Oryzias latipes: one gene and its partners. The protein of the gene in region 4 interacts with the protein of the main gene of each other region in a pairwise test. Links are inferred from orthologs where the notes say so. Each region holds a gene or a part of one and is shown on either strand. Other genes may lie near its edges. The genes, in order: ca8, snapc3, cdkn2d, hsd17b14, nek6, tbc1d22b and mpg.

Region 1 (3,500 bases), on a different chromosome or scaffold from region 4:
GCATAATAAAAATAAAAATGTCAAAACCAGAAATGCTTTTTCATTTGCAAAATGAAGCTGCATTTTTTGACTCAAAATTAAAATGAAAAAGCAATCCACCAAAATGCTTTTTCATTTTCTACTTCAACACTACTTATTCTCTCACTTAATTAAAATGATAAAGAAAATGGTTTTTGACATTTCATTTTCAAAAATTTCTCTGGTAAATGTGTAGCAAAATTCATTTAGAAATGTCTAATTTGACAATTAAAATGATTCACAGAAATGCTTTTTAATTTTCAAAATGTAACTGCATCAAAGGACTCAAAATTAGAATGAAATGTCAGTCCTTTATAATGCTTTTTCATTTTCTTCTTTAACATCGCTCATTCTGTGACATAATTAAAGTGAAAATGCAAAGAGGGAATTGCATTTTCGTTTTCAAATTCACCCGCAAAACTGTAGCAAAATTCAATACCAGTGAGCATTTCCAGGGGGGTCAGTCTGGATGGTGTCTTTTTTAAATAACTGAAGTGCCAACTGTTTGAAAATTGTTAATGTAGAAGAATTTTATCAATGTTGTTTGTGCCCGAGCGGAATTATATGACACCAAGTCTTTCATGTATTGTAATGAATGGAAAAGGGCTGGAGGAAGATTGACGAAATTTTACCCCTTCAACATTTTGCGCCAAGCCTCTTCCAACTGTACGTGGTGGAAAAACGCTAGTAAACAGTAGGTAAAAAAAGAAGTAGAAGGAGCCACTCCCTGCTTATTCAGTGTAAACACCATTGGCTAAGTGTGCGTTCAAGAACCCGCATTTAGTGCGGTCTTGAACGCGCGTCACACTTGTCCGTAGCTTGACACTCACTAACTTAGTTTTGCACTCTATAAGGAGCTCTAAGCTTCATAAAATCAACTCTAAAGCTGCTTTTTTCATGTGTCTGAGCTGCAGGATTCAGTAACATTTTTTTTTATTTTGATGTATTATAATCATTTAAATTTAACCATCCAAAAATATTTTGTAGTAATGTCATAAGGGCAAACAAAGTATGCAAAAATGTGGTGCGCTATTTACGAATGTGTGTGCGCTTTGTTTATTTTTTGTTCATGTGCAGGTGTAGAATGGGGACTCCATTTCCCAGCAGCCAATGGTGAATACCAGTCTCCTATAAATTTAAACTCCAGGGAGGCCCAATACGACCCCTCCCTGCTGGACGTGGGCTTATCTCCAAACTATGTGGTGTGTCGAGACTGCGAAGTCGTAAATGACGGACACACCGTCCGCATCCTCCTCAAGTCCAAGTCAGGTGACTCCTCTTAACCCCAATGCCACACAGTTTTTATTCTGCCATTGGTTTGTGTTGGCTGAAGTACCAACAAACATTCCCTTTCAAATGACCCCCTTTTTTCTCAAATTCCGTGTTGCTCAAACACTTTACTAACCTTACTGTGTGTGCTACCCACAATCCCCCTGAGTTTCCTTTTTCTTCCTCTAGTGGTTACAGGGGGCCCGCTACCCAGTGACCATGAGTATGAACTTCACGAGGTTCGGTTCCACTGGGGCAAGGAAAACCAGAGGGGGTCAGAGCACACAGTCAACTTTAAGGCTTTCCCCATGGAGGTAAACACACACACAAACACACACACACACACACACACACCAGCAAGGTTGTGCCTCCAAAGAAAACACAGCGTTCCCACGTTTGCCCTCCTGGCACTAGCACTGATCCTTCCTTTAGATAACACTGGGGCTTGTTGAGTTCTTGAACTCAATGTTTTTCTCTCTGACAAAATAACACTTTTGATAAAAACACTAAAGGTTTTTTTTAGTGTTCAGGTGTTAATGTTACAGGCTTCAACTAAAAGAAGCCTGTAAGTTCCATGCATCTATCCTCCTAAATAGGATTAAAAGACCTCTAACTCACCCAAAGATGAGTGTGGTTTGTAAATCTATACTATGAACAACTGAGCAAAAAGTAGTCTATTAAGTGTATAATAAGAATACTATACTAAAAGTAAGGCAGTATACTTGAAGTTTAACTTTTATATACTATACATATATTGTAAACTTCAAATGTTCCAATTTAGTCTGAAGAAGTATTCGGTTAGTATTCTTCCTATACTACAAGTACGTGGCATACAGTACACTTGCATTCTTATGCTCAAAGTATACTTTATAACATAAACTATTTTTTTGCTAAGGGTAATCCAGAACAGTAAAAACTCTTAAGTTTTTAACGATTTCATTTGAATTATTAGGTTTAAACTAAGAAGTATGTTTCATGAACAAAAAAGTCATTATTTTTCAATTTAATTTGAATTTAAAAAAAGGTTCTCCTAAACCAGGTTCTCATTCTAAACAAACACAATGAAAAGCCAAAATTAAAAACCTCTGAACACACTAGATGGAAAATGTATGAGAACGTAAGAAGAGAAGTTCGTTAGAGTTGCTTGGTGCATTGTGGGAAATCCCCCAGAGGAATTTACGGGACTGGGGGGGGGGGTTTGGTGACTAAAGTCTGCTTATCATTAACAGAATTTTAAGAATTTTAAGGTACCATGTCTTAAATCAGGTTATACTTATTGAAGCACAACTTACAAAAAGGGAAATAAGGTCAGAGAAAAAGAAATAATGTGAAAAAGAAAGTTATACATCAACAAAAGGGTTTTACTGTGGTGTCTCATTTAATCCTCATGTTTGCAAAAGGGCTGTATTAGATGTCTTAGAGACCCACTCCAATCATCTTTTGATTCATTGTAAAAGCGTTCCCAATGAGGATGCTGCTTTTAGCCAAAATGTTAAAAAAAAAAACTGTGTTGTTTGGGAGTTTATTATAAATTCACCTCTAAGTTGTGTGTAGGACTGTTGGTGCAGAGCACGCTCTGCCCACCCATAACTGAGAGCTCTCTGTTTACATTCTCCCATTGGGTTAGGTTAGAGCCCCTCACACTACCGGTGCAACACTAATATTTGAGCTCTCCAGCTGTGCAGTTTTGAGCCAGATGTCAGCTCAAACGAGGAAAGCGAAGACATGCATGGATCTATAAGTCATCAGAATGGAGTGGAGCAAAGAGCTTGTGGTGTATTTTCTACATCACAAATAAAATCTTTTTTAAACAGCATTTTTTTTTTGTCATCTCCTGATTTACAGTGATTTGAACTAAAAAAATTACTCATAAATGTAAATCTTGGCTTAATTTTCTTCATATGTCCTGTGATTGTGGCCCTGTGTCAGACTGGCGACCCGTACAGGATGTCCCCTGCCTTTGCCAACGAGTGGCAGGGATAGGCTCCGGCAGCATCCTGACCCCGAAAGGAAAAAAAACGGGTTTAGAAGATGATTGAATGAATGAATGTCCTTCATCATCAGAAAAATGCCACAAGAGCATGTTAAAAACACAAAAACACGATGTTCATCAGAGTGAGTCCTAAAACAGTCTGACAGAGTCTGGAAAGGGTCTCTATGTCTTCAAGTGATTCAAGAAGACAAAGAGGAACTCTGGTATTAGGTTATCTTTG
Region 2 (4,221 bases), on a different chromosome or scaffold from region 4:
TGAATACGCGCACACACTGCCGCCCCCCCATTCTCTCCCGCTGCACGCGCTCTTTTCCTGTCCCTTACACAAACGCGCGCGTGCGTGGGCCCAATACATTCCACAACAGTGGTTACAGACGATCCCGGCTCCAATGCCTTCTTAAAAATGGGAAGATTGTTATTGTGCTGGCTCCTTTGGGAAAATAAATTTATTAATGAAAAAAGAGCTCCGCTGTTGACAACACTTGTTGACATCCATGTTAACGTAAGCTACTTCCGCAAACAACGAGTGACGTCATTCGACGTTGAGTACTCTTCTGCGCATGCGGGTCAACTCTGGGTCGTTTCACGGTCACACTGTAGATCACAAAAGTTCGGATTTACTTGGAAATGTGAACGGTCTAGCAAATAATTCGGATTTTTTCAAAAAATCGGAATTGAGCATTAAGCCCTGCAGTGTGAACGTAGCCAAAGACTGTTTCTGCTGAAGGAAGATGAGTTTGGAGCTCCAGCCCTAAAACCTCTTTACATATGCAATGTTCAGGAAGCCCCTTTGAAATTCAAAGTACGGGAACCACACACAGTAAACCTGAAAGAGAACCTTCAATGAAATAAAGATAAGATAAAAAGCCTAAGAGAAATAAAGACCAAAAAAATATAAATTCCTTCAATAGCTAAGGTCCACTTTTTCCTTAAGTCTGAATCCATTGGAAACCTGCAAGAAAAATTCAGTCACTGAGTCAGAAATGTATAAATCTATATTACTATAATAGCCTAGTATGCTGTATATACAGGTTTAGCAAAATAAAATGTACATTTATTTCGACAGCAAATTATCCGTACATCATGCAGCATGTTGATAACAGCCCTGCAGCATCATGCATGTCAACATGTGTATGATTAATGAAGCCCCTGCAGCATTATAAGAAAAAAATGATAGTCCTTACCTGTGAAATGATATACCTTCCTCCTTCATGGACTCAGTTCTCTGATTTTGGCAGTTGAAACCCGCACAATGAACTGGTATTATGCAAAAAATGTGTTCACATGCATGCACTGCAGTAGTAACTCGACCTCACCAAGATGGCGGTGCTCTCCTCCCATGAGGAACCACGTGATGTCTCCTCTAGTGATATAACTCATTGGGATTAACATATTTGAGTTGACTGTCAGGCTCTTGCTTACACAGCCTACGGGCATTAAAGACAGGAAAATCCACAAAGAAAAAGTTAAAAAAAAGAATTTGAGTAATGTGGCTTAAATTCATTGAGAGGCTACATACTTTTAAATGTTGCTAATTTTCATGGGAGCTGTGTGGAAGTTAATGACAATATGAAAAACACATATTTTCAGAACCCGAAAGGATTCGTTTTATGCAAATAGTTTTGACATATAAATAAGTGAGATTATCCTACATTACCCATAATGCCTATCACACGGAAGAGTCCTCTTCTTCTACGTTTTTTTCCGTCCTCTTGTTTAGAAACATGGCGGCGTCCGAGCAGTCGTCGGTTCCAGACACAGACATCCCTGACTATGAATACATTGGCGTTAACACCAAACCGTTTCGCATCGGCTCAGTGCGAGACGGATGGCTGACAAGACTGAGGCCCAAGGATTATTCATACCAACAAGAAGACAAAGACACATTTGAAGCTAACTTTGCAGAGGCGATGGGGATCAGTGAGGAGACCATGGCTGAGCTCAGATCCGTCTGCAGGTAGACACAGCTACCTTGTTGTAAAGTATTTAGTGTGATTTTTGTAAAAAGTAAAAAAAAATTTTTTTTTAATAAGTATTAAACTTGTACCTCTTAAAATAATCCAAGTTGCAGCAGTTAAAGAAAGCGAGTTGCGTTGCTAACAAACGTTAAGCTAACAAAGAGGAAGTGAATTACAAAAATGTCCTTTCAACTTAAAATTCATATTTTTAACATAATTTTACTCCAAATCAAGCAGCTAAATATTTAAGAGTTATTCATTTAAAAAACACTTGTGCATTCACGTTTGGATGAATAAAGACAATTATTTGTAACACATCATGAGTAATGTTAAAAAAATACCTTTTACAAATTGTTTTAATTGATAATTTTTTAAACTTTGCCTTCTGTTGGAATTTTCTCCACAATCAAACAGGAAGTAGATTGACTTCTATCGAAAAGCTAATAAGCTTGAGGACATTCTCTTACTTTTGACGACTCTATCCCCAATCAGATGTCACACTTTTTTTTTTCCAGCCTGGATTCCCTTCGTTGCCATGCTGAAGATGAGCTGCCTGATACAGAAGTTGTTCCTCCAGACTCAACACTGAAAACTCTGATGTAAAAACATCTCACTAAGAGTTCTGCTGTTTTAAGCTCCAATGCTGCTTGATGAAGTATCTGTTCTCTTTCCTCTAACAGACAAAGAAAAAAAAGGCAAGATCACAAAGCTTCTCTAAAGGTCAACAAGAACCGACATGATCTCTATGCTGATGAGCTGGTGGGTTACTTTAAAGTCATTCAATCTAACTTGATGTTAGGGGATGAGAAAATTCACTTTTGTCCTTCTCTGTACTCCGATTTCCGATGGGTACGGTTGTTGATTGACTTGCATGTGAAATTGATCTTAACCCCCATTTTAATCTGCCTCTACAAAAGCCTGAGATCCTGCCAGTTTCTGCTGTGAAGGAAGGTAGACTGCTGGACTGTCCTCCAGTGTAGCAAATGTCAGACTTTCTATCAGTGAAATGGTCATTTTGGTAGGTTTTTTGGCGGGGAGAAAGAATAGGTAAAGAATGCCAGTTTCCAATTTCTGCAGGGGTAAGTCATACGTCGTAAGCAACAAAAACATTTGGAACAAAAACCCACTATTTAGCATTAGAAAAACAACCACAAAGCTGAGAATGCAACATTTGCAGTAGCTGCGTTTACATGGGCAAAAGTAATCGAAAGACCGCCTGATCAGAAGAAAAATGCGTCATGTAAACACGCTGTTCGGAATACTCTGCCCCGATCAGACTTGTTCGAATCAAAATTTCTTTCCGATCCATCGAGATAGGTGGGTTATGCCGATTGTTTATCCAATCCTGTGTCACTACTGCTCTGGTTTAATGTCATGCATAGGCGATGTTTCGCTCCAGAGAAAGCTTTGGAGCTCAAACAGGACCGACCAGCTGCTCTGCAGAGGCCCGGTGTGAAGTGCCGCTCCGCTCTCGCCCCGCTGGCTATTCGCCTCTCCCCTCTTAAACCCTGCGAGGGGGTTAAGAGGGGAGGTGCGCTTTGTGCCTCGTGACGTCTGAACCCTGCCCGGTCTGGGCTCGGGTGCCGGTGGACCGAGCGAACTGTATCTCTGAGCAGAGCAGCTGGATTAGTAACTTTGTGTTTGAGGGAAAGGGAGGATGCTTTGCTGCGTGTGCGTTTTATTGTTCTGTTATGTCTGGAATAATTCGGACTGCAATCTGGGTTAGCGGCTGCCGGACTCAGGATAACCGTGTGTCCAAGCAGAGGTCGGAGTCGGACCGCCAGCTCACACACAGCGGCTTTGGGGCGGTGTGCGAACTTTTTAAAGCAGAAATGTCACTCAGTCCTTAGAAGCCGTTCAAACAGTCACGTGGATTTGTGTTTCCGTCGTGTCCTGACAAAATAAAGGCTGATGATATTCCCAAATATTTACGTGCAGCCAAGATGCATATTGCAGCGTTTCCCGCATGGATTTTGTGTTCATCAAACAAGGCTAATTTTGTTAGCGCGTGTGTTAGCCTCTCGTGGGAGCTGGAAGAACCCTGGGTTCCTCCAGTTCCTCCATCTTCCACAAGAAAAGCACTGACCACAAGGATTAAAAATAAAATGTTGACCGAACAGGCGCTTCATAATATCATAACATTAATAAAAGCAGGTTTAGAAGATCATCTGGAATATTACCGAGCTGCCAGTTGTCTACTGTGGCAGTTTGTTTACAACGGGACTCATTTCCCCTTTTCGGGTATTTTCAACACTACTACGCATGCCCAAATGATTTATTCCGACCAAAAGCGTGACCATGTGAACGTTCATTCTAATCGGAAAAAGGGTTTCTGGGCCCGTGTACATGGTTGAATTCTAATCTGACCATTGATCCAGTCAAGATATTTTGCCCATGTAACCGCGGCTAGTGATCAGGCTACGACTAAAGCAGGAAGAAGCAGAGGTACAGTCAGCGTCTCTTGATCTTATGGCAGTGAAGTGAGCAAAGCTACAATGAGGAAACTTGGAGTGTTTGTG
Region 3 (4,097 bases), on a different chromosome or scaffold from region 4:
AGGTATGAATGCTTCAAAGTGTTTATTATATCAGTTGCCAATTACTGTATTGTCATTAAGACTTTTAAATAGTTTTTTTTATGTCCATTGACTTGTTTTGTCTTTGCCTTCTAATCTATATGCGATAATAATGTGTCATTTAACTTTATGCATTTTTTTTCAGGTTCGGTATATGAAAATCATTGAAAAAAGTGGCTACCAGGCTTTACCCTGGGTGCGCTATATAACACAAAGTGGAGGTATACTATAATAATTACGTATATTTGATTAAAATTCAAGTATGAAGTAGACACTATCTGTGTTTTAAATTGTGTGCATTTGTTGTTGTTTTAGATTACCAGTTGAGAACAAATGCCTAAGTAAAGCCTGCAAGATGCTTTACTGCATATCTCCAGGACTTCCAGAAGAGCACAATGAATTTTACCTTTTATCTGCACCTGAAGAATTTCTTTAATTTACTTCTTTTTTGTGTGTTTTAACTGTTTTATATTAAATCTCCATGCAATTTGATTTTATTGTCACCTTTTCAGATCTTTTTAAAATTGTTGAAATAAGATTATTCCTCTGAAAACAACTTGTTTTTTGTGCACCTGTTTCTTTGTGAGTTGTTCCTTGAGGACTTTATATGCTGAATTTAGCAGCCGTGGTGTGGTTCACCACCGTGCAATCAGTGCCGGCAAATTCCGCCTAAAACGAAAGACATGAACCCGCCTTTTTTTCCACACTGTTGTGAAGAAATACAACCAAAGCGTGGAAATGTGAATGGACTGTCTTTGAAGAAACAAACGAATACGAATCGCCCGCTTTCTTCGCTTCGCGCTCTGATTGGTCAATCCCCACTGTTACCACAGTGATAACGTAGTAACAGAGTTGTAACCACGCCTCTCTTACCATTTATGGAAGTACAACGCCTATTGGGCCACCTGTGATTGGCCAGCATATCTACTCTCCAATGTTTGTAAATTGTCGGCTAGATCCACTACTGTTTGGATCTCAGCGCGCAAATGTATTTGTCAATGTTTATAAACTCTTCCATTTTGAATTGTATTTAAAAAATAACCGGACTGCGGTGTCGGCGGGCTGAAAATTCGTATCGAGGATTCGGATACTAACGTATTGACGAAGGTAGGATTAAAGAGCTCGGTTTTTACGGTTAGCTTTTAGCTTTTCTGTTAATTTTCATAACTCTCTGTCGATGTGACTTAAGTGTCGGCCAATTTTCTCAATAAAAAAAATATGGATTTGGATATTTTCTGCCGTTTGATTAGCCCAAACAACCAAGTCAAAAACAGTACGCTTACAGTCACGTAACATGGCGTCACCGTAAAAACTACAAGTTACGTTAGCCGGATGTTGTTGTTAGCTAGGTGTAGCCGACAGCAATCTTCCTGGCTTTTTCAGTCTTCCTCGTGCATTTATGTGTTTTAATGGCCCAACTGTGGTTGATTTTCATGGTGTACGGGGCGCGTGTGCTGTTGAACAGGCAAGAACGGAGTTTATAATGGTCCTCAGTCAGATGGACGCTGGCAAAGCGTTGACGGCGGCGGCAGCCAAAGGGAATACCAGCGAAGTGCAGCGGATCCTGGAGGAATGCAGGGTGCATCCTGATACCCGGAATGAGTTCGGCAGGACGGCGCTGCAGGTGAGACCTGTCACGGTAGTAAGACATTAGTCATCTGTAGGCGGTTGGTTTGCTCCTCCACTGTATTTACAGCCCGCTATAAACATAAAACTCTCAACACTTGTTTCTTATAAAATCTTCACATCAAAAAGTGAGCTAAATATTTTTTTAAACCATCGTAATATACAAGGAATTGACTCTGCGCAATAAATAAGTCGCGCATGTTGCCAAATTAGTTCAGTAATGAATAGCCGCTTCCAGGAAGTTGCGCTGTTCCTGTTTTTGATACTTTTCACAGTAAAATGTTCGACGACACTTTCTGTAATTTGCAGACTTGACTGTACCGGAAATCTGATTTAGGCAACGGGGGTATTTTTTTTTTTTTTTACATTTGAGCTGCTTTAATTACGAATAAAAACTGTAAACACAGTAACCACACAACAATTACTATTCCAATATTTAATTAACCCAACATGCAGAGATTTCAAAGTAAAATAGTGGTATTTGGGTGGGAAAAAGGTTAGAAATTGTCCATTAATATTTATTACTAAGTACTGTATTTTATTTAATATATACTATTTATTGGTATACTATGGTAAACTAGTATACTATTAAATATAAATACTATTAATACTAAATCATCAAACAAGAATTATTGTTTTATTATTTCAATCCTTCACTGTGTTATGACTCCGTATTTTTAGAATTTAAATGTATTGTTTAGATGTTTTAATGTATTTGTAAGCAGCCCAGTACTCCCTTGGAATCTTAATGGGAATATCCTGATTAAATAAAGGTCAGAAAATAAAATATATTACTATTATTGCTGATGTCTCTGGAGCATCAGTGCCAGTGGTGGAGATACTAGTTGGTGCAACTTTTTCCCTATTTCCTTCATGGTCGAGTCTGTTTATATACTTTTTTTTAATGTACACTTCTATTATTCGGTAATTTTCCATTTGTGTTTTTTATGAAAAAGAATAAGTTAAAAAAAACGTGACAGAAATATTTTTTTTCTCCCACTTTTTATTTTATTTAATTAGAAGATTGTAAAACATGTTAAGTCAGGCTACTTGACGTGATGATACTGCATTTTTATAGCACACATAAAAAAATAAATGCTTTAACAAACTGTAAGCAGAAAAAATGAAAATGTTCTTTTTCAGGTTTAGTGCAGATCTCAAAGTAAAAGCTGTATTTTATTTAGTGTATTTGTTTTTTATGACAGTTATATTTTTATTTATTTCTATCTCTTATTATGGATGGATTTTTCTTTTCAAGCAAAAGTGAAGGCGTTCTGTAAAGGAAGTTGCTGATTTGTGCATGAGGGCTAATAAATATGCATACAATATTTATTTTTGAACAGGTTATGATGATGGGGAACTCCAAAATAGCAAGCTTGTTGCTGGAGAAAGGAGCAGACGCCAACGTCCAGGACAAACACGGCATAGCGCCTGTCCACGATGCAGCGAGGACAGGGTTCCTGGACACCCTGCAGGTCCTGGTGGAGAATGGAGCTTCGGTGAACATCCCTGACCAGAACGGCGCCCTGCCCATCCACATTGCCATCTGGGAAGGCCACCGCGATGTCGTGCAGTTCCTGGCTCCGCGTTCCAACTTGAAGCACGCCAACCAGAGCGGTCAGACGGCGATAGATGTAGCCCGAGCTTCCTGTGTGCCGGATATGATGGACTCACTTTTTGCTCATATACATAGTTAGAAAAGTTTTCTTCTCACTCGTCGTCATTCTTCATTTTTTTTTGGCTTCAAACCTTGTGACTTGAACTCATTGCTGTGTAAAAGATTATTTTTTTTTGTTATTTGTAGCTCAGCATTAATATGTGACACAAGACATATTGTCTTGGCAGCTTATTTTCAGTGGATGGGTGTCTATATACTGTAGATACCTCTTTTGCACAGTGCAATTTAGGCACCTTATACTTATGCATATATCTGTTTTCCCTTTTGACTGGGAGTGCACATTTGTATAAAGTTTCCGCAGTGTTTCCTAACTATTTCTATTGTGTAAGAATTCATACACGTGTGTTTCTTTTTAAATTACAAAACTTGACATGGTGCACCCTCGTTGCTTTGCCTAGTTGTTAATCTGAATTAGATGTACTTAGACTTTCAATTGACTCTTATTTATTGTTGGACTGAACATTTCCTGTGACGTTGTAAATACAAACATATTGTGATTTGTTTAAATGTTATTTATATAAAAACTTTTACGGAAAAAAGTGAGATTATTCACTTTAATATTTGAGGAAAAACAATAAAAGTGTTGAACTTCAAAGCGAAGTGTTTGAATTTTTCTTTTTTTAACTGATACTTTAAGTGTTCATAGCAACAGGAAAGTAAATGTGAAAAAAGGGGAGATGAAGTTAAAAAAAAAAGAAAATCATGTTGTTGCCTTTATTTTTACTGATTTTGTTTTCTTTTTTTTATAAGGAACCCACCTTTTGTATTTTCTTTC
Region 4 (4,260 bases):
AGAATATTTGTGAGTGTGAGAGTGCCTGGGTGGGGACAAGCCTGGGGGGGGGGCTACCCTGCCGGGACCTACCCTCCCCACTGTAGGGTGGGCACCGGGGATGGATAAGGGAGGTGTTGGGTCAGGGGGTTGTAGAGGATAGTGTAGTGTATGGGGGGGGTTGGAGCTGTGGTTGCTTGGGTCGGGTGCCTGGGCCTGCTGTGGTGGGCGGCGCCTGGGTCCTCTGGGATGTGGCCCCGCGTCACGGTGTCCAGCACCCGGTGTCCAGCACCCGGTGGCCCCAATGGCGGCCGTCTGATGTGCCTGTCCTGTGGCCTTGGGGCCCAAACGGTGGGCTAACCTGTGCTCCGCAGTGATGGAAGGGCCCCCTAGGGTGTCCTTAGGACGGTCCCCTCCATTTGGGCCTTGGGGCCCAAACGGCGGGCTATCCTGTGCTCCGCAGTGATGGAAGGGCCCCCTAGGAGGGTCCCCTCCATTTGGGCCTTGGGCCCAAACGGCGGGCTATCCTGTGCTCCGCAGTGATGGAAGGGCCCCCTATGAGGGTCCCCTCCATTTGGGCCTTGGGGCCCAAACGGCGGGCTATCCTGTGCTCCGCAGTGATGGAAGGGCCCCCTAGGAGGGTCCCCTCCATTTGGGCCTTGGGCCCAAACGGCGGGCTATCCTGTGCTCCGCAGTGATGGAAGGGCCCCCTAGGAGGGTCCCCTCCATTTGGGCCTTGGGGCCCAAACGGCGGTCTCCTGCACCTTCTCTCTTGGTCCTACCGGTCATGCTGGGGAGGATCTGGTCCCCCTAATGATCACATGGTACACTTTGGCAGCGTGCTTGCATCTCCCCCCCCCCCCCCCCCCCCCCCCGGTGTGCATGTGCACGTGCACACTTATCCCTGTCTGCTTTATCCCTCCTCCTAACCCACAGATGGACAGATATCTTCCACTTATCTTGGTGTCAGATTTTCACTTTTGGATGTAACATTTGTCTTTCCAGCAGAAATAAAATATATATTTAAAACATAAAATATAATAAATAAATAACAAACAATTAAAATAAAAACCTAAAAGGGGTTTATACAGATATACACCTTGGCTGTCAGAAGATCCATAATAGTCAAATCTGTCCAACTCAAAAGGCTTTCAGCTCTTGTATGTTAGCTCGGTTGTTGGACAGGACAAGTTAAAATAAAAACACCACGTTTTTCGGGTCTAAAGTTATTTCTGGGCCTCTACCTTTTTATTTTATTTTTTAAAGGAGAAATAAAGACAGGCTGACTTAACAAATTTTAAAGGAACTTCAGAAATGTTTCCTCTTTTTATCTAAATTCTCACGAAACTGTCAGTTAAAAGGAGAAGTAATATATTCGAAAGCAAATTCCTTTCAGATTTTTAAAAAAAAAAATGTTTTTAATAGGATTGAAGAATTTCAGAGTTTCCAGTCTTCCCAGCGGCGCTTGAATGCAGCATAGTTTCTTTTTCGGTGCAGACGCAGACCTTTGCCCAGTCGCGGTGTTTCTGTGAGTCTCCCGCAGAGCACAGACCCGCCGCTCGCCTCTCCTGCTGCAGGACGCTGCGGGACGCACCGGCTCGCGGCTTTGCGGCGCTTCCGTGCACATCCGTGCAGGAAAAGCGCAAACACCATGTCCTTCCGCTACCTCGGCAAAGTTGTTATTGTGACTGGAGGGTCTAGAGGAATCGGCAGAGGGATTACCGAGGCCTTTGGTATTGGATCTGTCCACATTTCCAAATGGGTTGCAGGTTCAAGTCCAGTTCCCTGAAAGTCTGTTTGTTTTTCAGTGAGAAATGGAGCCAAAGTGGTGTTTTGTGCATTAGGAGGTCAGCAAAGAGACAGTCTTTCCCTTTTCTTGTACATTATCAAATTAGGCCTATTTGAAGTGTCTTAATTGTGTCACTATTGCAGAAGGTGACACTGTTGAGGCAGAACTGAACAGAACCGGACCAGGATCCTGCAAGTTTGTGAGATGTGATGTCACCAAGGAAGAGGACATCAAGGTGAAGTTCTGGGTTATTACAAGAATCCATCCAACCAGACTGGCGTTTTCTGTCATCCAGTCTGACGAGGGGCTTGTTTCCCACCCACCTCCACAGAGGCTGATCTCCTCCACCGTGGAGCTGCATGGACACATCGACTGCTTGGTCAACAACGCAGGCTGGCGTGAGTCTGCTCAAACCTCTCTGGCCTCCTGCAGACGTGTTGAAGACATTTTTGGAGACCTTTAGGTTGCTGTTTTGTTTGTTTGTTGTGATTTTCAGACCCTCCGCACAAATCCATCGATGACACCACAGCTGAGGAATTCAGAGATCTGCTCAACCTGAACCTCGTCAGCTACTTCCTGGCTTCCAAAGTAAACTTTTCTATGATTAGAAGAACATTTTATTTTACATTAGTTTCAATTATTTTGAATAAAACTGCAAAATCACTATAAAAAGAGCCTTTAGTAGTAAAAATATGAAAACATTGGTTCACAGTTTTCTTTTTGTGTTAGTTTTTAGTACCAAAGATGCTTTATGAGGACAACATTTTGTTTTAAGGATTTTCTTTTTAATTGTAGTGTATGAATGTCCAAAATAGAAAATGAACTTTTCCTAATAAGAACCCTACACTCTAAAAAAGAAATAAGTTTATCTAACTTAATTAAATCACATCATCCTCTCAACTCTAACTCATGGTGCAGAAAGAAAGAAACACAACAGTTTAAATTAAAACAGCTAGACAACAAAACACATGGACTCACACTTAAACCCCAATCTGCCTAGATAGGCAAAGAAAATGGTATCCCACAATTCTTTATCATGATGTCTTGACGCATTGACAGCTTCACACCGAAGTTACACCAACTTAATCAAATTAAGTTGATTAAAAGTAAAATAACAATGTCATTTTTAAGTTTAATGAACTCAAAAAACGATTTATTTTCACCAAACTGAATAATTAAATTAGATCAATGTGAAAAAGTTAATATTTCCAACTACAGCCCAAATACTTTTTTTAGAGTGTAACAAGAACCCTAATCAGAACACAGTTAGGACTGTTCTAACATCTTGTGTCCTTGTGTGTCTCCCTCCAGTTTGCGTTGCCATATCTGCGGCAGCGTCAGGGAAACATCATTAATATTTCCAGTCTCGTGGGCTCTATTGGTCAGAAAGATGCAGTGCCATATGTTGCCACGAAAGTGAGTGAATTTGGAAGGATGTTCTTAAGGCAGTCAGGCGGCTCCTGTAATGCGCTACTTTCTCCACTAGGGGGCGATCATCTCCATGACGAAGGCGATGGCTGTGGATGAGAGCCAATACCACGTGAGAGTGAACTGGTGAGGCATCCCAACTTCTCCACGCCTTACTTTAAGCTGAAGAATAAATTACTCAGTTGTGACCACATTGATAACTGATGTACATTAAGGCAGTAAAACCATCCCTTTGTGGTTTAGTAAGAACATTTATGCACTTTTTTAAATATTTTAATGCTACTTTTCAGATATTAATTGAAGAAAGAACAAAATATTAGTATATATGTATTTGTTTTTCTTAAGTAACTATGAATGTTTTCTTTATGGACTTCCATCTCTTGATACTAAATTTAAATCTTAATGTATGTGCCATAATATGTCCTTTGTTACTTCCTCTGGCTGTAACTCCCTAACATGTATTTATTTATTTATTGCACGCTTTGGAACTTCCATCCTCCCCTCTTTTTTTTATTGTACTCATTTTTTTACGTTCATCCAGACCTGAACTACAAACTACAAACAAAACGAAGCTGGACCAAGAATGAATGTACATTTTATTTGAGGAGAGAGGAAAAAATGTATGTTAAAGTGCAGGTACACTGCAGTCACAGAAGCTCCTAGTTTTTGTGAGCTTTTTCTAGTTGTGTTAAAAAACAGAACATTAAAAGCCTCATTTCTAATGCGGCAAACTAACAAACATTTAATTATATAAATTAAAAATTGTATCACATTAATCTGTGTTAAACATAGTTTCTGCAGAGCAGCAGGATTAAAAAAAAAATCTGCTCCTGATTCACAACAATATGAAAAAAGAAATATATAGAAGTTAAATTTAAAGCTTGTTTTTTTAAATCCTCAGAAAAAGATGTCAATAACATGTTGAAAACACCCAAAACTCTATTATCATCTAAGTGGGTCTTAAAGGATATTTACTAAAAGAAAGAAAACTGCTTTTATTTTGACATCTGTCGGTCTTTTCTGCCCTGCTAACACCTTTGTGTGATGTGGGACAGCATCTCTCC
Region 5 (4,249 bases), on a different chromosome or scaffold from region 4:
CAACACTTGTACAGGAAGACAAAACAGGTAAAAGAACAGAATCAACACAAAATAAAGAAACTGAAGAATGAGAAAAAAGGACAGAAAAGGAGAAGAAAAGCAAAGGGTGGTGAAGGTTTTATTTTTATTGAAACCACTCCACAGTGAACTGGTTTGATCAATCATTTGTTTTTAGTAAATCCTGACAAATTAAAGAAAAGACAGAAGCTCATCATTTGTTCCTACTAGGAAGTGAGGGATTAACCCATTAGTGCATTCATTCATTTCTAATTAAAAACAATTTATATAAAATACATTTAACATTTAAATGTGATTTAATTTTTTCGAAGCAAATCAAAACACCTTGATGCTGTCTAGAACTAACAGATGTTTTACCCTATAAGGATTTAACAAAAAGAATATGAATATAAATGCTGCAAAGGGTCCCATATTATTGACACACACATTATATATTATTATTATAACACACACATTTGAACACAAACATACTAACAGGCACAGACACTAAGAAAAACACTAAAATACACACAAAACTCAAACAAACATACATATTTAGTGTGTAATGATTAATAGATTAATCAATAATTCGATTTCTATTCCTACCATCCAACCAGATCAATTTGTCCGAGGCAAAATTTTCATTAAATCGACCTATATCACTGTAAAATCTTTTCAAAGTAAAATAAATTCATTTTATCAATATTGGTAATTGCCGTTTATTGAAACAAAGATTTATTTTACTATGATGTAAAAACAACCAAGTACCATCAAAGTGGACAACAGACGTGATGAAAGCGAAAACTGACCACAGTCCATCATTCCAGTCCAATGTGTGGAAACACTTTGAATGTCATGTGACCATCCAGTGTGCTAGAATGTTCTAATAATGTTTCCTTTGGATTCTTTGGATGTGGTAAAACAACTGAACTCTAGGAAACTATAATGTGAATGGGTTTATCATCAATTCTGGTTTACTTGTGTGATTATACACATATTTAATTTACACTTGAAAGTTATCCATTGCATCTGGAAAACGTCACCTTCATTGAACCAGGAATTATCTCGGAGTCACACTGGTTGAGGTTTTGGCTGAAGATGTTCTGGATCCATTTTAGGTCAGTGAATCGGATCATTTGAAATGAACCAAAGTTTTGAATCGAATCAGCAACCAAAGGCTGTGATAGAAATGGAATTGTTGGTGAAAGGAATGGTTACATCCCTGTAATAACTCACGCACGCACACGCCCCTTTTGCTCGGTTCGTACAGAAACTCCCCACGTGGGAGGAATCCGTCCTGGAAACATGTGGCATCTGCGGTACCTGCTCAGGTACGTTGGGGGGGTTGTTTCTAACCCAATGCTGCCACGCCGCGGGAACCCACGAGCTGCGAAAAAAGGTTGTCACGTGTTCTGAATCTGAACGGCAGAGAAATCAACCGCGCGTGGCGGCAGCAGCTGAACAGCAGCAGGAGGAGGAGGTTCTGGGGAATAAATGAGCGGACCAAGAGCGACGGAACACGAAATGAGAGCGGCCGCAGATCCAAATTCTTCCTGAGGTAGGGCTTCAGACGCACTCTTTGCGTGACGTGTTTGCTGAACTACTCTGCGTTTGGACGGCGAGCTGACCGTGAGTTTCCACGCGTGTGGCTCTGAGACGCCTCGCGCTCATTTGCTCGTTCCGGAGACCCAGAACTCTCGGTTCGGGGCGTCAACCACCATGTAGAAACGACGTTTGTGACAGGACCGGGGACGGAAAGACCAGCAAGAAGTCCCCCCATCTGCTGCAAATGTATGGAAAGCTGGATGTGTCAAAACCGGTGAATAAAAAAAAAAAAAAAATCAAGACAGTGTCCATCCGTACATCATGTTCAGAATTCGTGGGGCCAGCCCTGACCTTTTTTCTCGGCCCCAAGTCTTAAGGTTAGTATTATGGTTGGGGTTTCGGGTTAAACCACCAAATAGTTCCTGAGCGCGGCTGTGTTTCTGCAGCTCAGCGTCCTCCAGGGGACGGATCAAATGATGCAGAAAAAACATTTCTCACAGCTACTGTGTGACAGATAAGTTTCATTTTAAATATGTGCGGCCAACAACCTTGGATGCACTTAAAATACATGCGGGCAAATGCAGCAGTGCACATCTTGGCTGCACGAATTAATGAAGATGATTTTCCATCGCTGTTTGTGCTGGGCGGTCGCACTTGAGAAAAACATCAGCCTTGAATCAAATATTCTAAATGCGTTAAACTATAGCAGACCAGTATACGGTAAATCAAAACATGGCTGTCTATGAATGAAAATGGACAAAAAAAATGCATCTTGTTGGTATAAGCTACATGTGAGGTTTATTTATTTTTTATTTTCACTAATCTTTTTTACGTACAGTAAGCTAAAGTGTCAATTTATACAGATTTTGTTATATAACAAGTATTTAACAGGTTTGATCTGAAATGATCTACGCTAACTAACTGACACCGCTGCACGTTAGCCACGTTAGTTTTTTTTACAATAACACCCAGCCTTTTTTGCAAGTCCTAAAAAACATAGTGACATTTTGACAGAGCGCCATATAGCTCTCAAAATCACTTAGATATCAGTAAACATATCCAGAATTATACCATGGTCCGGTAGGGTTGTGCGATATCATCGTCCATCGTGATGGGTGACTGACATCCCGATGGAGAGACCACCATCGTGATGCCACGCCCCCGCCACGTTGCGCGTCGACACCATAAGCCGCGGTTACATGTACAAAATATCTTGATGGGATCAATGGTCGGATTAGAATCCAACCGTGTACATGGTTCCAGAAAAATGTTTTTAGAATATAAAAACGTTCACTAAGGTCACACTTTCCGTCGGAATAAATCATTCGCACATGCGCAGTAGGGTTTGAAAAACGGAAGGATATAAACTCCGCCGAGCGGCTTTTTTTTTTTTCAAACTTTATTGTATGTAACAATTCAATACAAAACAATGTTAAACAGCGCCGAGCGGCTATATACATTGACATGTCAGCTCGGTAAAATACGAGATGATCTTCTAAACGTGCTTTTAATAATGTTACGGTTATTATGAAACACCTGTTCGCTCATCATTTGAATTTTAATCCGTGTGGTCAGTGCTTTTTCTGAACGAAGCCAGGATTAGTATGCTAACACGGGCTAACAACATTAGCTTTGGATGGTGCTGCTTGCTGGCTGCACGTAAACATGTAAGAATAACATCAGCCTTTATTTAGTCGGGACACGACTGGAAACACAAATCCACGTGATTGTTTGAATGTTTTCTAAGGACTGAGCGACATTTCTGCTTTGATGCTCAAACCGCTGTGTGTGCTGACGATCCGAGCTGTGCTCAGACACACTTTTAGACCCGGTTCTGAGTTCGGTTGCTTGTACCCCTAGAGCTGCGGGACGGATCGCAGTCTTAAATCTCCCACACATACCGCTCATGTACCCCCCCCCCCCCCCTTCCCATCAAACACAAAGCTTTAAGTCCGCACTCCCCCGGAAGTGCGGGAGCGGACTACTTCTCTTCTATTTTGTTTGTTACTTTTTTTGTTAAAGTCACTTCCCTCAGTTTATACTGGATCATCGCGGATTGGGAAATAAACATCGTCAACGGCCAATTTAAGGGACATCGCCCAACCCTATGGTCCGGGTGAATACTCGATTCTGATTGGCTGCTGGGTTTGCAGTAAGAGGGATAACGCACAGTGATGTCCGCACGCCCCAGAAAGAAGTTCCTATCTTAAATCTTCTTTATCACTGCACGGCTTCTTTAAAACAACCTTTAGCTTCATCATCTGGACAAAAACAAGCGGGAAGAGGAGAACTTTGTCTCTGAGCTAGGCCTGCACGATATGAGAAAAATCTGCGATATGCGATATCAGTGTTTGAAACGGCGATGACGGTATGACTTGCGATAAATGGACAAATAGCAAAGCAAAAATACAAATGCGTTTCCATTTCACTGTGATAGTTTTATTTAAATAATTCAACAAAACTTAAAGTGCAAATAATTTCTAAAAGAAGACAAATATTTAACAGTACTTTCCAAAACTAAGATGAATGATTAAGAGGAAATAAAGATGCCCTTTTTTCTTCAAAAAGAAGGAAAAAGTAAGAACTTTAGTTCTGGCCAAAACTTAGATGAACAAAGAAGAAAAAGATAAGAGGCCCAAAAACACACATGTGACATACTGATAACAATAAAGAACACTATCAGTATGTTTCACTAAGGCAAGTTCTT
Region 6 (3,500 bases), on a different chromosome or scaffold from region 4:
AATGCAGTTTTTAGCCAAAATCCATAAACCGTGTGGGTTTTTTTCTAGGACATAGTTTCTGCAGAGCAGCAGTAGTTCAAAGGTTCATTCACCTTTGAGTTGTGGGTGGGACTAGCTTTCAGCCCCTCACCTAACATTTCCGGCGTGACAAAAATGGCGAGCAATATCGGAGCTATCGGGCCGTCCAGTTTGGATCCAGATTCCAGCTCAGACAAGGAAAACGAAGGCGTTCATGGATCTGCAGGTGGATGCATCAGAATGGAGCAGAGCAGGAAGCTTGTAGCCCGCCTGAGACCATCTTTTTCAATCGACATTTTTTCCTCTGCTCCAGCTATTTATATAAAGAAATACTCAAAAATGCATTTTTATGCTTAATTTTCTTTATACATTTTTTTCAACATCAGAAAAATGTCTCCGAAAAGACCAAAAGTACCATTTTCATTGGATTAGATCCTTAAATCTGACGTCATGTTTTATAATAATCCATCAACAGTTACCGCTCAATTTGTATTTTAGTAAAAAGTTCTATAAAAACTTAACAAAACAATAAAAAAATAGAGTTTATTGATGTAAGTTTCCTTCCTGTAGTTGAACACAGTTTGACAGATCCTCTCAGGCAAAGAAGCTCTGAGATCTTCAGGGTTCTTAAACGGGGACCATTAATACCAAAGCAAAGCCTTGTTCTTGTTCTACATTTAAAGTTCAGCATGTGAGGATCTGAGGGTTCTAGATGATCTGTGATGGGCCATTTAGTCTGATACATATGGACTGATCCAAATAAATAAGAACAGGTTTTTTCATTCCTACAGTTTCTTTTATGCAGATGGTCTGTCTGTTTTATGAGCAGCTGCATTCATCAAACACCTGCAGCTCCATTCACAGGTCACCTGAATCCCTCCTGCAGTTACTCATCCTGTAAACAAACCAGAAGAAAGAGATGATGGAGCTTTTCAATAACTTCAGCTGCAGTTTTATGAGACTCTCAGCGTCAGACAGTGGGAGCCCAGAAGAGTCCCTGCTTTTTTTGTTCTTCGGGAACAACTTGAGCTCTATTTATTTGATTTCTTCTTCCAGATTATCTCTCAGTAAAGTTCAGATCTGTACTCCCGCCGTCTGATGATTCCTCATCATAAAAATGGAAATTAAATTCAAACGATAAAGTTTTGAGCCACATCCATTCACACGAGTCAGTAAGAACTGGTGACATAATTTTTTTGTTTCTCATTTTAGAATAATCTTTGTTCATCTTCATTTTACCTGCATTGTGTTACAAAATAATCATAATCATATTCAATCTTCTTAAATGACACTTTGCAGATTTAAAAACTCAATGAATTTGGTTACTAATAAAATAACTAAAAAAAATTTAACTAGATGTTATTAAAAATGATTTGAAAGGAAAAAACACCTATTGTTTAAAAAAAAAAAAAGACCCAGAAATGACAGTGGGGAGAGTCCACGATGCCCTCATCTGCTTGAGCGTTCAGAAGCCTGCAGTTTTAGAAAAACAGCAAGATTGTCTCACGTCAGTCACAAGAAGAAATGCAAAGTTTCTCTGCCTGCTCAGTATTCTGTTATGAGGCACAGATTTGAATGGTGGATGATAGAGACCAGTAAAATGAATCCCAGTATAATCGGCTGTGAATTGTTCAAAACTCGGCTGCTGGCCTTTTAACCACAAAGAAGGAGCACATGACACCAATTTTGAAATGTCTGCACTGGCTCCCTGTCAGATTCTTTCATTAGTCTTAAGGCACTGCTTTTAGTTTATGATCCTCCCGGAGCCCTCAGGTACACGTCTACTGGGGTCAGAACAAAAACCCACGGCGAGGCCTCATTCCAGAACCGTGAGCCTCGCCTGCAGAACAGACGTGAGGGCCTCGACTAATGTGGACAGTTTTTAAGAAAAGCTGTAATCATTTTAGCTGCTATTAAGTAAGTTTTACCTTTTCGTCTGTTGCTGTTGTGCCCTGTCAGCTTTGTTTTGGAATCTTTTATTGATTTCATGGGGCGTTTCTTTTGTTTCAGATGGGTTTGATGTGCATATGTGGTGGATTATTATTTATTCATGATGTAAAAAGCACTTTGAGGTGCTGCTCAACTGGAAATGTGCTCTACAGATAACGTTGAATTTGGAAACATACTGTTGATATGTGCTGAAAATCTCTGAGCAAAAGGCCTTTATGGTTTCATTCCTCCTTAAGTGTTTTATCCCCTACTGAAGTCGGCAGAGGTTCATGGGCGTTTTGTTTCTCCTCAGCAGTTCGCTCCCCCCTGCAGAAGCAGCAGTCGCTGCCCGTGCGTCCCATCATCCCTCTGGTGGCTCGCATCTCTGACCAGAATGCTTCAGGAGCCCCCCCCATGACGGTGCGGGAGAAAAACCGGCTGGACAAATTCAAGCAGCTGCTGGCGAGTCCCAACACTGACCTCGGTACTGCGGCGCCGCAGACACCTCCTTGTAGATCTCAGTCAGCACATCAGGAGTGTCACTTTTGAGTGTTTGAACAGCTGTTGCAGTTTGTCCACCTCTGCTGTGAGGTCTGCAGAGAAAACCCGGAATGACTGAGGTCCTCTCTCCTCCCTCCCTCTCACAGAGGAACTCCGGAAGCATAGCTGGTCTGGAATACCGAGAGAAGTCCGGCCGATCACCTGGAGACTTCTATCTGTAAGGCTCCCAACCTGCAGTGTGCAACGTTTATCAGTCTAAACCTCTCCCCTAACCCATCGGAAACATCATCTTCTTTTTTTCTGCCCTTGACCTTCTTACAGGGATACCTGCCTGCCAACAAGGAGCGCAGAGAGCTGGTGCTCCGCCGAAAGCGGGAGGAATACTTTGGTTTCATTGAGCAGTATTATCACTCCAGAACAGATGAGCACTTTAAAGACACGTACAGACAGGTGAGGCAGAACTTTAGTCCACACAGAAGACAAACCTCTGACCTTCTGGCAATAATCTTTTGGACCCTCTTTCTGTCAGATCCACATCGACATTCCGAGAACCAACCCTCTGATTCCGCTGTTCCAGCAGCCCGCCGTGCAAGAGGTTAGATGTGCGCGAAAGGCCTCTTTGTCTTTAAATGGAAAAGTTCACCGTTTTGTCTCGGCGTGTTTGGGTTCATCTGTTCAGCATCAGTCAGTGGCTCAATCAGCTCAGTGTCAGCTCCCTGCAGCCTCCACCACACCAGTCTGAAAAGACGTCATCCGCAATCTAAAGTGAGACCGGAACAAGAGCAGACTGTGCTTTTTCCTGTTTCACAGCTCGTCTTAAGCAGAAATGACGTGGTGCATGTGGTGACCGCAGAGGAAGAAGCTGCATCTGATACCAAACCTCAGAGGAACTCTGCTGTCAGAGACGATCTGCACTGACCTCAGCTCGTTCCTCAAACGTGGCTTCAAGCTGATCCAAATTTAGATTTGTGAGAAATGATTCAACCTCAGTTTTATCGCAGCACAACTGACATAGTTTGATTTTGTTTTGAAGCAAACATGTTAAACACTTA
Region 7 (3,784 bases), about 4.9 Mb from region 4:
TGTTCCCATTTCCAAAATAATCTTAGTACTTTAAGACATTTCAAAAGACGACACAATTGTTTTGACAGTTTCCTGACAGGAAGAGCTTAAAGATGAAGTTGATTCAGGTGTGCATTTTGGAAAAAGTTAGTTGTCATCCAAAGACAAAACTATGGAGTAAAAATACATTTCTTATAACAACTGAATTGTTAAATTTCTATAAACCTTCACAAACATTCCTAATTATAACCCTAATCTATTGTAGGGTACCACTTCTTGGCAAATTCTGCACCGCAACAGCTAAGAAACACTCAAGACAACAATTCCATGTCTCTGAATCATTGTTTTACTGCAATATCTTTAGTCAGGCTGCACACCGCCCATCCATCTGCACAAACAGATGAATCTACACTGAAAATGAAAATGATCCAGAATGCATTGCCAAAATGTGTCTGCTAAGATTATCAGTGCCAGTAAGTATGAAAGTAGCACGATTCACACTCTACGGGCAATGGAAACACAGCCATGGCAGACAATAGCATTCAGGGGTCCGTCAGCCATGACAAAGTCAACAGTTCGTGTCAGGGGAGTAATGCTGGAAATGTTGAACAGATTTTTGTCTGGAATTTTTTCCCACCCAATGAGCAGAGCAGGCCTTCGGGGTCATGATTACTATTGAGAATGAGAAAACAAAATGTCAAAAGCCACAGAAAAATTGTATCTGTTTTGTTAAATCAAAAAGTGAATTTTTTTTTTTAATTAAGTGAAAATTAAACAAGTGTGAACATTTCTTGCATTTGTAACCCTAACCTTAACCCAATTTTAAACTTAATTTTCTTATATGTCCTCCGTCATGAGAAAATTACAAAAGGCATCAAACATCAAAAACATAATTTTCACTGAAGTGGGCATTAAAAAGAATTTTTTTTCCCTCTAATTTATTTTTATTTTTTTAACTTATTTCTGAGGGGGGTGGGGGGCTTTTTGCAGTGTAACCCTTAAAAATAAAATAAATAAATAAAAACTCAGCAGCAGAACCAGAGAGGCTAAACTGGCGCTGCCCCCTTAGTTTCTGCAGAAGCAGTCACGATCCTGACGGTTCTCTGTTCTATTAATAATCCATCGTTATCCAAACGAGGCAGAAAAGATAAGAGTGCAGCAGGAAAAGGCCTCACTTTGCAAAGAGGCTTTTATGTTTCAGCCCTTTATGTCTGAGAAAGTTAAACAGAGGAGGACGGGGGTTCACTAACTTGGATAAAGGTCTAAAAAGAAAAAGGGGTGACGGCCCCTTTAAGAAATTCAAAACAATCGCCTACTTCCTGTTTGGCTGGATTGGAAACGAAATGACAACAAACGGTTGAAATGAATTAACACGTATGGTTCGCTGACTTCATTCACACACAATTGTTTTTCCTAATTCACAAGTGTATTTTTATGTATGTATTTATTTATTTTTTGCCCAATCGCAATTCAGATAGGGCTACATGGCGGGGACAAAAAGAAAGCTGCCAGCTTCTTTGGCAATTTCCTCTGAACACCCCGAATCTGCGAATACATTTCCAAACCAAACGCAAGCGAAACGCAAAATGTCACCTGCCAAGCTAAAAAAGCTAGTCATAAGTGAAAATATTTCAAATGTGACGGCGGAACAAAGCCAGTATTTCACCAACGACCTGCAGCACAGACTGGGAGAGGATTTTTTCCAGCAGCCCTGCATCCGTTTAGCTAAAGCACTCCTGGGAAAGGTAAATCTGACACATTAGCTTAGTTCTTTCTCACACAAAAAAAACATCTATAGTTTTTAAGAGTAGAACCAACACTTGAAAAAAATGTTTATTTTCAGTGAAATATCTGTCAAATGTTGATATTTTTGTCTTAAAGTTTCATCATCTTTTGACCTATTGTAAAAAGCCAAAAGCCATATTCGTCTACTCCTGATTCAGAATGATTTGAATAAAAAACAAATGTCCAAAATAAAAATTTAAGCTTTATTTTCTAAAAAAAAAGTCCTCCGTCATGAGAAAAATCCTACAAGACTACGCTATTTTCATTGGAGTGGGTCTTTAAAGACATTTCTTTTTTCCAAATATAAGAATTTTACTCAACTTGATTAATGCTAAACTTAATTTTACAATCCTAAACATCATTTGCCATCAAAAGATTTCCGTAACCATTTTAAAGCAAAATATGCCTACAAATAAATTGTAAGAATTAAAATATTTGAGGTGACATTTTTCATTTAGAGATGTTTATTCATGTTCTACTTGAGAGCTGATGAAAAAAAACATTCTGATCCACAGTGTCAGATTTCCATTGTCTGTAGAACTTTTAATCAGTTTTTCACAGGTGGACAGAGGATCTTTTTTTAAAGGATGCGGATCTACTACGTGCAGGTTCTGGTCCGCAGGCGTTCAGATGGCACAGAGCTGCGGGGGAGAATCGTGGAAACCGAATCCTACCTTGGAGGCGAGGACAAGGCCTCCCACTCAGCTGGAGGCAAACGCACCGCCAGGAACTTAGCCATGTTTATGAAGCCGGGAACCATTTACGTCTATCCCATCTATGGGATCTACCTCTGCATGAACATCTCTAGTGAAGGTAAAACCATCCGCCCTGCTGTGAGTGCATATACTGTGTCAATGTTTGGAGTACTAAAGATACTCAGCAGTTTTGTTTTCAATCATATGTTGGTCAAATCAATCGTTTTGCTGACGGATGTCTTGTATGTGGGGCTTCCTTTAGGGGAAGGAGCCGCTGTGCTGCTGCGTTCTCTGGAGCCCCTGCAGGGTCTGCCTATCATGCGGGAGCTGAGGGCAGCCAGACGTAGAGAGAGCGCCCGCCAGCTGAAGGACAAAGAGCTCTGCAACGGGCCTTCGAAGCTGTGCCAGGCTCTAAATATACCCCGCTGTTTCGACCGGCGAGATTTAGCCTCAGATCCAGAGGTGTGGCTGGAGAGGGATCCAGACGAAAGTCCCATAAATCCCCAGGATATAGTGTCAGCGCCGCGCATCGGGATCGAATCCCACGGGGAGTGGGCCAAGAAGCCTCTGCGGTTTTATCTTCGCGGACATCCTTGTGTTAGTGTTGTGAATAAAGCAGCAGACGGGCGGTCTGGAAACGTCGTGAAGGATTTAGGACCCTCAGAAGTGCAGTCTGGGACAGAACGGCCCGATGTGAGAAGAACCAAACAGGACTAATCCTGAAACTACTCTCCCAGTTGTTTCATTTATAAGTGAAAGCCAGACAGTTTTAAACATAAAAAAACAGTTACAATTGTAATAGATTACAATAAAAAGTTGAACAAATCGGAATCAGGAATGCACATAATCATCTAACATTTACACTCCAGGGTCCTCCTCATCAATTTCACAGATGTTTGGACATTTCTGCTTTTCTCAGAGCAAAATCAAGCCTCTTTGATGTTTGGACTCCTCCTCCTCTTCCTCTTCCTCAGCACCTTTGGGATTCCCAAAGAGAAGTAGCTGCAGGCCTGGTATGATCATTACTCTCCGCTGCTCTGTAACCTTCACAGACGACACAGCATAAGCTCTTTCTGTAGGGGATGTCATCATCTTCAATAATGCAATTCCTTTTATGTACAAAATAATTTATTGTAAACAAACATTTGTCTCGAGGAAAAGAAAAATACTTTTTCGATTTGAGTAAATTCGCACACTTTAAGGCAGTCGTCGTTTGAGTTTGATGTAAAATGTTGGTTGGAAAAAACAAAAATTCCGTTTGGAGGACGGGAATCAACCCCACCCACGCTTTTCTCCGTGTCGCTACTCCATGGGCGACTGGAAGA

The links.
Region 1: the proteins of hsd17b14 (region 4) and ca8 interact in binary tests that used the Homo sapiens proteins (3 or more experiments, as listed by UniProt). The two-hybrid records come from large-scale screens. The link is inferred for Oryzias latipes from reciprocal best matches to the Homo sapiens genes HSD17B14 and CA8.
Region 2: the proteins of hsd17b14 (region 4) and snapc3 interact in binary tests that used the Homo sapiens proteins (3 or more experiments, as listed by UniProt). The two-hybrid records come from large-scale screens. The link is inferred for Oryzias latipes from reciprocal best matches to the Homo sapiens genes HSD17B14 and SNAPC3.
Region 3: the proteins of hsd17b14 (region 4) and cdkn2d interact in binary tests that used the Homo sapiens proteins (3 or more experiments, as listed by UniProt). The two-hybrid records come from large-scale screens. The link is inferred for Oryzias latipes from reciprocal best matches to the Homo sapiens genes HSD17B14 and CDKN2D.
Region 5: the proteins of hsd17b14 (region 4) and nek6 interact in binary tests that used the Homo sapiens proteins (3 or more experiments, as listed by UniProt). The two-hybrid records come from large-scale screens. The link is inferred for Oryzias latipes from reciprocal best matches to the Homo sapiens genes HSD17B14 and NEK6.
Region 6: the proteins of hsd17b14 (region 4) and tbc1d22b interact in binary tests that used the Homo sapiens proteins (3 or more experiments, as listed by UniProt). The link is inferred for Oryzias latipes from reciprocal best matches to the Homo sapiens genes HSD17B14 and TBC1D22B.
Region 7: the proteins of hsd17b14 (region 4) and mpg interact in binary tests that used the Homo sapiens proteins (3 or more experiments, as listed by UniProt). The two-hybrid records come from large-scale screens. The link is inferred for Oryzias latipes from reciprocal best matches to the Homo sapiens genes HSD17B14 and MPG.

Annotation. Positions count from the first base shown.
Region 1 is NC_019875.2:20,920,516-20,924,015, reverse strand, and holds part of ca8 (carbonic anhydrase-related protein), read left to right. Parts: intron 1-1,095; coding exon 1,096-1,287; intron 1,288-1,476; coding exon 1,477-1,601; intron 1,602-3,500. UniProt on the Homo sapiens protein: Does not have a carbonic anhydrase catalytic activity.
Region 2 is NC_019859.2:16,549,255-16,553,475, reverse strand, and holds the start of snapc3 (snRNA-activating protein complex subunit 3), read left to right. Parts: upstream 1-1,421; 5' UTR 1,422-1,468; coding exon 1,469-1,701; intron 1,702-2,217; coding exon 2,218-2,301; intron 2,302-2,382; coding exon 2,383-2,461; intron 2,462-4,221.
Region 3 is NC_019859.2:10,441,412-10,445,508, reverse strand, and holds cdkn2d (cyclin-dependent kinase 4 inhibitor D), read left to right. Parts: upstream 1-1,297; 5' UTR 1,298-1,417; coding exon 1,418-1,642; intron 1,643-2,987; coding exon 2,988-3,341; 3' UTR 3,342-3,917; downstream 3,918-4,097. Other genes in the region: ap1m2 (AP-1 complex subunit mu-2), read left to right, coding at 1-2, 164-239, 334-359. UniProt on the Homo sapiens protein: Interacts strongly with CDK4 and CDK6 and inhibits them.
Region 4 is NC_019866.2:3,307,114-3,311,373, reverse strand, and holds the start of hsd17b14 (17-beta-hydroxysteroid dehydrogenase 14), read left to right. Parts: upstream 1-1,460; 5' UTR 1,461-1,630; coding exon 1,631-1,712; intron 1,713-1,787; coding exon 1,788-1,826; intron 1,827-1,911; coding exon 1,912-2,003; intron 2,004-2,099; coding exon 2,100-2,166; intron 2,167-2,264; coding exon 2,265-2,356; intron 2,357-3,079; coding exon 3,080-3,184; intron 3,185-3,254; coding exon 3,255-3,322; intron 3,323-4,251; coding exon 4,252-4,260. UniProt on the Homo sapiens protein: Catalyzes the NAD(+)-dependent oxidation of L-fucose, yielding L-fucono-1,5-lactone, which rapidly converts spontaneously to L-fucone-1,4-lactone. Can also act on D-arabinose and L-galactose, with lower catalytic efficiency. Does not use NADPH.
Region 5 is NC_019870.2:24,939,309-24,943,557, forward strand, and holds the start of nek6 (serine/threonine-protein kinase Nek6), read left to right. Parts: upstream 1-1,449; 5' UTR 1,450-1,555; intron 1,556-1,900; exon of another isoform or gene 1,901-1,919; intron 1,920-4,249. UniProt on the Homo sapiens protein: Protein kinase which plays an important role in mitotic cell cycle progression. Required for chromosome segregation at metaphase-anaphase transition, robust mitotic spindle formation and cytokinesis.
Region 6 is NC_019865.2:4,883,452-4,886,951, reverse strand, and holds part of tbc1d22b (TBC1 domain family member 22B), read left to right. Parts: intron 1-2,260; coding exon 2,261-2,431; intron 2,432-2,594; coding exon 2,595-2,665; intron 2,666-2,769; coding exon 2,770-2,898; intron 2,899-2,977; coding exon 2,978-3,043; intron 3,044-3,500. UniProt on the Homo sapiens protein: May act as a GTPase-activating protein for Rab family protein(s).
Region 7 is NC_019866.2:8,193,694-8,197,477, forward strand, and holds mpg (DNA-3-methyladenine glycosylase), read left to right. Parts: upstream 1-1,296; 5' UTR 1,297-1,463; coding exon 1,464-1,724; intron 1,725-2,372; coding exon 2,373-2,577; intron 2,578-2,721; coding exon 2,722-3,176; 3' UTR 3,177-3,284; downstream 3,285-3,784. Other genes in the region: GATOR complex protein NPRL3, read right to left, coding at 3,762-3,784. UniProt on the Homo sapiens protein: Hydrolysis of the deoxyribose N-glycosidic bond to excise 3-methyladenine, and 7-methylguanine from the damaged DNA polymer formed by alkylation lesions.